Caenorhabditis elegans: one gene and its partner. The protein of the gene in region 2 interacts with the protein of the main gene of each other region in a pairwise test. Each region holds a gene or a part of one and is shown on either strand. Other genes may lie near its edges.

The links. Proteins that work in one complex are often made in the same cells at the same time.
Region 1: the proteins of fkh-6 (region 2) and lim-7 interact in a two-hybrid assay, tested with the Caenorhabditis elegans proteins (one large-scale study listed by BioGRID).

What each region holds. Positions count from the first base shown.
Region 1 is NC_003279.8:5,714,707-5,719,579, reverse strand, and holds the start of lim-7 (LIM/homeobox protein lim-7), read right to left. Parts: upstream 3,007-4,873; 5' UTR 2,905-3,006; coding exon 2,769-2,904; intron 1,056-2,768; coding exon 1,008-1,055; intron 962-1,007; coding exon 897-961; intron 208-896; exon of another isoform or gene 58-207; intron 1-57. UniProt on the Caenorhabditis elegans protein: Probable DNA-binding transcriptional activator.
Region 2 is NC_003280.10:4,379,032-4,384,973, forward strand, and holds fkh-6 (Forkhead transcription factor fkh-6), read right to left. Parts: upstream 4,376-5,942; 5' UTR 4,258-4,375; coding exon 4,220-4,257; intron 4,060-4,219; coding exon 3,951-4,059; intron 2,596-3,950; coding exon 2,384-2,595; intron 2,311-2,383; coding exon 2,157-2,310; intron 1,500-2,156; coding exon 1,194-1,499; intron 1,005-1,193; coding exon 852-1,004; 3' UTR 847-851; coding exon of another isoform or gene 802-846; 3' UTR 756-801; coding exon of another isoform or gene 585-755; 3' UTR 554-584; downstream 1-553. Other genes in the region: B0286.1 (uncharacterized protein), read left to right, coding at 386-540, 585-755, 802-846, 4,592-4,651, 5,788-5,942. UniProt on the Caenorhabditis elegans protein: Probable transcription factor. Binds to the DNA sequence motif 5'-[TA]TGTT[TG]T[TG][ATG]TT-3'.

The sequences.
Region 1 (4,873 bases), on a different chromosome or scaffold from region 2:
GGTAAACAGGTAAATAGTTAACTGAATAGCGTGATCTATTCTACTACTGTTTAGGTATTCATCGCCTATTCCAACACGACAGATGGTTGCCACCTTGACTGGTCACGCAAGGGTCCCTCTGTCCCAGTGAGTTGTATACACCAATCTTCACACTCAAAAAATCAACAAAATGCGCGAATTTGCGCAGTAATTTGATCCGTCTCTTCCGTGCTTCTCCCCCTTTTTATGCTTCCTGGTCAACACGTTTTGATTTTTTTCTTTTCTTTTTTTCCGTCTTTGTCTCATTTCATTTCATCATCATTGCCCTTTCTCCTCCCCCTTCCCTTTTTTGTATAATATTCACTTTTTGTCCTTTGCTTAAAAGTCGTGGGGCAAGAGCAAAAAGTACAATGACCCGGAATAAAGGTATCAAATTGGTGAATAATTCAAAAGGAGCAGAAAAGAGAAAAGGGGAAAAGGTTGGAATTCTGAATAATATGCAAAATGGAAATCCTACATACATATAGAAACATACATCAAAATGTTGAATAAAAGAACAAACAATGTGTCAAGTCATGCGTGTAAATTCTCTCTTTACTGGACTTTTGTAGCTTTAAGGTATTAAGACAGTTGGAGGGGCTCATTGTGCAATACATTTTTGAATGAGATCATTTGGAATGAATTAGGTTTTCTTGTGAAAATCCACCCCCGTGTAATTTTCGAAATTGTTGTTTAGAAAAAAAACCATGAGACTACACTGCACTCAATTAGTATCTCGGTTGTTGTTTGTTCTATCGAAAAGGTTGTGTATTTTTATTATTTTTGATATATTCAAAACAAACTGAGATAAAATCCTTCAAAGTGAGACGAGATACTTATAAACCATTTTTCAGTTATAAAAATGTTCAAAAACTCACTTTTAGACATTGAGCGTGAAATTCCAGATTGGGATTGACCCTGAGGAAGTACCGATCTGATATTTCTGAAAATAAATAATTTTTTGGAATTTAGTCCCCGAAAGAGCTTACCCAATCGACAGCCGGCACAAACTGCCATCGGTGGTTGGTGCTGACGTTCTGAAAAATGAAAGCTCGATTAACTTTACTCTAACCCAAATTACCCGTCGACTTTGATTTGAAGATTACAGGGTTTGTGAGAGGAGGGGAGCTCAAGCTTTATTTAGGGAAAAGTAATAGAAAGAGGGGAGGGCCACGCGCACAAATGGATAATGATACCCAGTTAGGTGTCATGAAGGGGTTCATGGCTTCAAGAAAAAAGTGAAGAAAGGCAGGGAGAGCCTAACAAAACTCATAAAATAGCTCATTTGTGGGGTGTTTGGGGATGTTAGTAGCTGCCAAAACGTTTTTTATTTTATTTTTGCCCTCTTCTGTCAGCACTGTTTTGCCACGTCATTAATTTTATTGAGCTCCGTTTTTATTCGGAAGAATTTAAAGTCGACAGCTTCCTACTGTTTAAAAAATAACATATTAAAATGTTCTAATTTTAAAACTATAACAACTAAAGGTAGTCATTTCAAACTATTGATAATCCCCTTGTTCAACATTTGACATCTTATTTTAGGAAGTAAACTGGCCGTTGACAAACAAGAAGTAACAATCCCAAAAAAAGAAGGAAAGTTTACTTAATATAAGCAATTATAAACACCCCACCACTACAGTAATCATAATCGGAGCGGCGGCAAATAACTACTTATTTGGGAGGAGAGTGTTGCGATTTGAAATTAGAATTGAAAATTGACCTAGAGAAAAACTTTTTTTGAAGAAAATTAGGTTTTAAAAACTTTCGGAATACAAAACTGTGAAAAGTTAATTTTTATTAATATCATATATTTATTTGAAAACTTTCTAGGTTAAGTTTTCGAGGCCAAGAAAATCGAGAAAATCTGGTTGGGTTGTTGAAATCTTCAAACCGGATATGTACATGTGATGTGCATAAGGCGATTATAGCTTAGATCTTCATCGAAGGACCAGATGAAGTTATGCGTTTTTAAGACAACAAGAAGAAGGTGGAAAAGAAAAAAGTAAAAGAGGAGGGGGACAAATGGAATGAAAGAAATAGCGATTTTTGTTTTCTTTTAAACTTTCAGAACTTGATTGAACTAAGAGCTTTTTGATGGAGCCTCCCATTTGTTCCCCACCCCCATCATATCGTTTAATCAACAAAATATATTTTTGTGTGAGACCCCCCGATTCTTTTGTTTGCCAAACTGGTGAATAAGCAAGGTGTCATGGAAAAATGTGTAGCTCAAATGGGTTTTTTCTACCAAGAAATTTAGTAATGTTATATGACTTCAAAATTTTTTGGAAGTGAGCCCATTAAGTTCAGACACCTTTCGGAACTTTGCTCATTTATTCATTGGCTCATCCCTATAAGTAGTATGGGAAAAGAATCGGAAGAGCACCAGAGCTTCAGATAAAAAAGTTGCAAAATTCAGGGGAAAATAGACGGATATTTAAGGCTTAGAAGTGCGAATAATCTTTTTTTCCAGATTTTCTCCCTCTCCTTCTTTCGATTTTGTTATTGCAGGGATTTTGACATTTTAAGATTTATTTTTCAAGATTAAGTGGAGTTTGAGAGAAGGTGTTGTATTCTTAGATCTGTTAGATGTCTTTTCAAATGGAAATTTTATGAATCTAACTTAACTTTTGTTTTGAATTTTTTAAGCTGTGATTTTCAGAAAATTTACAAAAAAATTTTTTCCGGATGTAAATTCTTTGAAATATTTTGGCCCACGCTTAACATTTTCAAATTAAAAAAAAAACACTCACGTTCAACAGGAGAATCAAGGCACAAGTACTTGGTATCCGGTTCGTCTTTCCAAAATGATCCACCAATTTCGAGATCCGATGTTCCTGGAGATGTCAGTGAGAATTGCTCATAACCATTTCGCATACAGATGTTCATGCCGTTGAACAGATATAGAAGTTTGTGATTGATTACTAGATACACACAAACACAGATAGGACAGTTGGAAGTGTCACAAACGAAAAGAGAACCGAGAGCCCTGGGACCCACGGAGAGACAAGAAAGTGGGCGGAGTCATTGAGCGGGCGGACGACGAGCGACTGGTTGGTAGACTCCACCTACTAAGTGAGGAGAACGAAAGAAGTGAGAAGAAAACCAGCCGGATGTGAACACCCAAGTGATAGAATAAGAGTGTGAACATCCTGATTTTGTGGATATGGTAACCTATATTTCTTTTATTTGTAATTAATTGGATTAAAGCAGTTTTGTGTGAACTATTTGGATCATGAAAAAGTTTAAAAAATGACATTTCAAATGCCAAAAAAATTTTTGAGACAGTTAAATGTTACTGGCAAAATATATTCTATGAAATTACTCATCAAGATTGAAGTAATGAGCAAAAAATTATATTTAAACATTTAGAAAATTTCGAAATTTTTGAACAAAATTGTCTGCTCCTGAAAAAATTAAGAATTAAGGAAAGTAATGTGAGAAATTTGACCTCACTTTAGTTTCACAATTAAAGTTTCAAAATTAAATTACAAATCGCTTAGGACGTTTAAATTTCATAACCCTAGATTTTAGAGTTCAAAATCCATCCTATATTTTAGTCAAATTTTCTCGTACATTTTCAAATGTTTTTCTAGTTTCCTTTAGCTTCCATACTAATATCTCCGCGTACTACAGTTTAAGACAATAAACTCACAAAGTGTAGAACATCTTCAGAGTCTATAAATTATTCATGTAACTTTTCCAAAAAATGGCTGCAATACTGAAAAAATGTGGTATGTTTGCTTCGATCTTTAACACAATCATTTTTCTGATATTTAAATCAGAAACTGACTGGTTCTCTCAGAGGTTTAAAGTATTATGTTCATTGATGAATATTTTAAAAAATTGAGAAAAAAAATTGAAATCAGAAAACATGAGAATTCAACAAGATTATCCCTGGAAATATCTTCTTATCCGGATTCAACCTGACCCTCATTCTTCCTTTGGCTGGTGGACGCCATATTTTCCTTATTGAAAACTATCTAGAAACTAGAAATATGTTTTATTTTATTTTATTTTTGAGTCTCTCTTAGAGTTCATATCGATTGAAATATAGACTTGAAGTCCCAATTAGTCTTGCGTCCCTAATAGTATTGCACTTCTTCGTTAGTATTGCAAACTCTTCATTCTTTTAGTCAAAAAAATTGTACGAAAAGTGAATTTGCAGTTTCTATAGAGTTGCACTCTTAAATTAGCCGACACGTGGACATATGTATGTTTTAACTGATTCCCCCACTTCCTGTATACCTCAAAAGGTGTGAAATAACGAATGAAAAGATGAACATGCATGCGAGAGAAGGTGATAACGGACAAGTATTCGAGGATACTGTAGATTCCATCGATTGATAAGGATTTGAAAGATAAGATGATTAAATGGATGCTGGATTAATCCAGAATATTGGAAAATTTTTAGAACCGGGGAGAAATGTGAAAAATTTACAGCCATTTTTCAACTATTGTGGTGTAAGAGAAAACAAACTTTACAAGTTATATTTCATAGTTTATCGTATTCCATTTAAAAAAATATTTTTCCAAAACACGAAGAAATAGAAAGACCGAAATACAAAATTTTGTAATTTAAATTTTTTAATCTCGAAAATTTCTACATTTTGTACGAAAGTAAGTTTTGCAGTTTTTTGAACACTTCGAGAAAAGCTAGAAATCAATTTTCGCTAAAAAAAAAAGAGAAAACCGATAACTATGACTTACAAAAAAGATATATGCATATTGAAGAAAAAAACGTTATTCTCCAAAAGTCAATGATTTCCTGTTCAGATCACGCACAGTCTCACCTAAATATTGATTCTACGCGTGGTCATCTTCTCTCTCACTATTTTACAACTCAAAAGGTCCCGAC
Region 2 (5,942 bases):
AATTTCCCGCTAAAACTATTTCAATCAGATTTTTTAAATTTCTCGCAGAAAAATTTTCTCGAAAAAAATTAATTATTGGTCACAGTTTGATCTCAAAAAATTTGAACTTACTACAAATTTAGACTACAAATTTTTTGGACAAAATTTTACCAAAATTTTGTTCTCAGAGACTTAGATTTTCTTGCCAACTTTTATTTGGTAAATTTTAAATTCCGATTAATATTAGTTTTTGAAATAATAAGTACTATAAACTTAAGTTTATAAATAAAATTGATATCGGTGATTTTTTTTCTTCGAAAAACCCTCCAAATTGAGTAGATCTGCCATTAAAAAAAAACTGAAAAAAAAACACTTTAAAAGTCAAATCACTGTTTTTTTCTTTCAGTAATCTGGCTGCACAAAAAGAAGATCGAGGCTGAATTACAATCCCGCCACGCCGAATCAACCAAATTTTTAAGCAAAATTAAATTAAAAGAGTCAGAAATTTACGGGTTGAAGACAAAACAAGAAACGTGCCAGAAGGAGTTGACGGATTGTCAGGTAAGATTTGAAATTTTTTTAAAACCATAATTCATGTTTTATAGACTTTAAAAGAAGAGCCAAAAGAGCAAAAAAAAGAAAACAATAAAAACGATGAAAATTCGAAGAAAACAATCGAAAAATATGAACAAGAAATTGCGGGTCTCAAAGAGAAAATTGAAGGTTTGGAGGAGAAGGTGAAGAATAATTATTCGGATGAAAATTCTAGCTTGAAGGTAATCTGAAATTAATTACCAAAATATTTCAAAAAATTTATTCCAGGAGGAACTGAAACAGTGCGAAACGAGGATCAGGCAGTTGACAGGGGTAAGTTAAGATGAAGCTGGGAATTGTTGTCCATAACCATAGAGAGATGGGTCATCAAATGATAATCCCGTGAAAGTGGTTGTTGGTTGACAGGACCAATTGGTATAAGGGGGCATGAAGGCGTTTGGGTACATGTTGCTTGCAGTGGAGAGCAGTTGCTGGAATAAGTTTTAGGAGGGTTTTTGATTAGTTATGAAAATTCTAAAATTTAGAAAAAGTGGAGATAGGAGAAAAAGTGGAGATAGCATAATTTTTACCGACTTCAAAATTTCTCCATTAAGCTGCAAGAGTTAAAAAAAAAGTAGCATAAACTTTATTTAAAACATTTTTTGAAAATTTCAACTAACCTGTTGCTCGATACTCCTCGGATCAGTCATCTGAAGACTTGTCAAGAATGTTGTACTTGAAATCCCAGGGATCAATGGCTTCATATCAACTAGAACCTCCTCTTTGACAGTATCCGATGGTACAACTTCTACATCAGACACAACTGGTGGTGGTTGAGATGGAGCCACTAGATTTGTGTCGAAATGAGAAGTTGGAATTGGGAAGGCGCTTGTGTAAATTGAGGTATCAAATGATGACGATGAGGAAGAGGAGTTGTTGATTTGGGAGGTGTTGGCACTATCAGTGATGGAGTTGGGGTATTGGAACTGAAAAATTGAAAGTGTTAGATCTGCACCCCGATTGTGCTCTATTTTGACCGCTTATATCATGGTTGCCTGAAATTTTATCAAATAATTGTCATTATTTAAATGTAGAGAAATATTTTGCCCATATTTTGTCAACTGACAATTTTTGATAACAACAAAGGGAGTCAAGATATAAGCTGTCAAAGTAGACCAAGGCATGGAGTCCACTTTTTGGGCTTTTTTGGTAGGCAGGCACGCCTTCAGGCGTACTTACCTACTTTATATTTTTCTGCCTATGCCTGCCTATGATCTAAAATTTACAAGCAGGCATAGTTGTCTTTGTGAAATATTTGCACAGTTCGCTAATTTCTTTAAGATCTTTTTGAGATTGGCACAGTTTCCTCGGAGTTTTGAGTATTTTCATGAAAGTTTTTTTTGGAAAAACAATTATTAATAAAATTATTTTTAATTGGGAATATAAAGCAACTTTGCTTCATTTTATAAGAGTTGTAACGAAAATTTCACAACTAACTAGTAAGGACTCTGGGGCTAAACGATAAGCTTACTACAGATTCACCAATATTTTTAGTACAATTTCGTAAATTTGTTGCCTGTTCGAATTTTTCATGGGGCGTTAGCGTTCAGATTCCCGAAAATCTTCACTGGGCAATTATTTACCTTAAAAAACTGGAAAGGATCCATAGTTTGAATATTCTGTGGCCACTTCAACCCGTTGAAAAACGGAAGCTGTTGCTGTAGAATGGTCCCTGTTTCAGTAGTTTCCGTCGTATTCGCATAACCCATTTTTCCGATTCCAAGTCTTTTGACACGTCTGTAAATACATGAACAAATAGTCATTTTTCACGAGTGTATAATAATAATAATCCTCTTGTCACTATCCATACCTTCTCTTAAAGTTGCCGTTGTCAAACTGAGGCGCATTGTCCGCCACCATTTGCCAATAGTTGCCCTTTCTGTCGTTCGCGCAGCTTTGTCCGTCTCGTGCTTTTTTGACAAAGCAGTCGTTGAGTGACAGATTGTGTCGAATACTGTTCTGCCATCCCTGTTTTCGTTTCGCGTCCGCGTCACGGTAATATGGGAATTTGGCCTCGATGAACTGAAACACACATCATCGGTTTTGTTTGCGCCTGATAGGAAACTAACATACTTTGAAAGGTTATATCTCGGTTCATAATAAAGATATCAATGAATGATCAACTACAAACCTATAGAAAAATAACCAAAAAATATTTGGCTGGTAGACAATTTTTGTTTAGGACAAACGAGAGCTGAGATATTAACTGTCAAAGTTGAATACTAAGGTTTTTGGGTCTTGACACGAAGAAGGTCTATATATATATATATTGACATTGTTATTGACTTGTAGGAGAGAGGAAAAGTTGTTCACTGTGTAAATGTTATGGGAGAGGCACAGGGTGCCCCCCACACCAAATTAGTCAGATCTATTAAGGTTGATGAGTCAAAACGGAAGAGTGGAAGTGGTGGGTTACGGTAGATGTGCTGGCTAGTGAGTTGGGTTTTCCAGAGTTAGATTGAACTGAACATTACTAGATCACTTGTGACAGGGTTACGGTAGGGCAGGGCTAGGTGGAAAAAAAAAGCAACCAACTGAATATCACAACAAAAATATCAATGTATGAAACTTACTGTACGAAAATGTGATATGGGAAAGATGATGTAGAACCTTAAGAACTTTTTTTCGAATTTCGTTTTTTTTGTAGCAATAAGGAGCAGATTAATTTTACTGCTATATAATCGTGTTAGAAAATCTCCAAAATAACAGATATTTTGAGGCTTTTCTAGTAATTTCAAAACAATTTAAAGTACAAAAAATATAGGGAGAATCTCCGGAGAAGTGACGAATATTTTTCTGGATTTTTAAATGAAGTATATGTCATTACAAGATGATCGCCAAATTTTTCGCTTCAAAGGAGCATTTTGAACTAGAAAATGTTTCATTAAATGGCTCGGCTTGATCAGTTTTATATGACTAAATAGACTCCGATGATTCAAGTTTTCAAATAATTGAAATTTACAAAAAAATCTTTCAAACGTTTGCCTATACCTGAAAAACTTAAAAGAAGATAAAAATCGGATTTGGAACAATTTCAGCAGCCTCGAAGTTAGTGTAAAGTGAGATAAAAATTCTCAGAAAAAAAGTAATTTTTAAAGTTTTGGAATTGAATTTCGTAGATCTATTTTTGCAGGAATAACTGAAAGTTCTAGCACATATTTTAATACTCAATATGACGTCCAAAAAAAACTGGAATATTCCGCTAACATTGTGAAAAATTTGCTCAAAAATTCTTCAAAATTTGAATTGCCGCACCAGTTTTGGGTTTTTAAAATGGTATTTTTCCGCAAAAAAGTATTTAGTTTTAGCAAAATTTTCATGATAATTCCTCCAAAACCGCTATACCAAAAAAACGTTATCGAAAAGCTTCCCGTTACCTTGTAAATCTGATTCAACGTCATTCTCTTATCCGGCGAAGCATCGATTGCCATTGCAATAAGTGCAACGTAACTGTATGGCGGCTTGTCAATCGAATTTCCCTCTTGACTGGAAAGAGCTCTTTTATTTTCAAAACTTTGCCTCTAACAGAATTTTGCAACGGGGATTTTGTATTTAGAGAAGAAGAAAAAGAAAATATGTTTCCCCTCTCTCTCTCCCTCTCTAAAAACAATAATAAATAAATAAAATAAATAAATACATAACTTACACAATATGAAATGGAAGATGTGTTTGATGGCGAGTCATGATTATTGTATTTTTTTATGGTAGGGGGTGTCAAATGAGACAACGGATTATGCAGAAGCTAAGAGTGAGGGCGGGGTCTCGGAACTGTGAAGACGGAGGTGTGGGTGGAGGGAAAGAAATGGAAGAAGATTGTGCACACTGTCTCCTTCTCCCCCCTGTGTGCTCCTGACATTTTCTGGTGCTGATTCACTGGTAAAAGGGAAACAGAAACATCCAATCTGATCATCTCTTACTTTTTATATTTTGTAAATAAACGAAAAATCGAAAGGGAGAACACGACGACGATTGGAGAATATTTGTATTACAACACAAAATTACACACAACTTTTTACAGGGAGGAGCCATCGAGCATTACTCGCAAAATGAGACGGCACATTTCAGCAGGAATCAGAAGGTTTGTGCTTCTTTTTGTTGTACACAGTACTCCCGTTACAGTAATCTGGAATTATTCTGAAAATTTTGCGATTTTTTAATCCTTAACTTGACCATATTTTTTGACTTTCCAGCGACTTTTAGTCACCTTTCATTCATTGTATTTTTTCTACTAGACTTCCAGGCACTTTCCTTTACTTTGACAGCGTATATCTCAGCTCTTTTTGATTTTATCAAAAATTATTAACTGGCAAAGTACTCCCAAAATAATTCTCTACATTTTATTAGTTTATCATTTTTTGTTAAAATCTAAGTGAACCAAGACATAAGTCGTCAAAGTGGAGCAATGTCGGCGCAAGGCTAATAGGGAAAATTGGCAAAATAGTAGATCAAAATGATTTCCAATTTTTTTTTTCAAACTTCTGAAAAACAAATTTGTTTTAAAATTAATGATTATAAACCACAAGTATCGTTTTTTTTTTAATTTAAATTTAATTTCATTAAAAACTGGATTTTTTTAACTTTTTAAATTTCCAGCCACATTTTTGGGCATTGTTTTCTGTAGCCTCGAAAAGTGAATAGAAGTGCCTGGATCGACCAAAATAATTTGAAATATTTGTTTTAATGCTAAAACGGTCAATTCAGACAAAACTAGCCATTTTCCAAAGCATCAGAAAAATTTAGAAACAAATTTAGAAAACTTGAAAATTTTTGATTGCAAAATTTTCGATTTTTTCGAAAAAAAAAAGATTTTTATCAATAATAATTTCCCTCAAGAAAGTGATTTTAAAAATGGTTGTTTAAAATAATTCACCACATAATCAGAATTTCAAATATTCAAACAATTTCCAAAATTGGATATTTTTCATAGATAGTTCTATTTTTTCACACTTTCAATTTTTCTCTGTGTAGTTTCAGAATCACAAGATATTTTCCCATTTGAAACGAAAACATATCACTTTAAATAAATCACCTGAATATTTGCCACTGTTTTGCTTATCTGTCTGACTTTCTCTTATCAACAAATTGTTTCAAACTTTTTGATCAAAGGTCTTGCTTGTTTCTATTTTTACTTACTCCCTGTATTTCTTTTCACATGAGTCTACAAGAGAGAAAAAAGTAGCCGTCATAAGGGTCAACTAACTACTCCATTTTCAGGCTGATGAACCATTGTTCTTCGATCGAGGTAACATTCAACATCACATCCCGCAAAAGTTGTTATTGGGACGAGAATTGGTGCAGACACTGGAAGAGGCAAAAGTGAAAAAGTTGGAGGAGAGAGAACAAATGGACAAGCATCCACAGGATCGCGA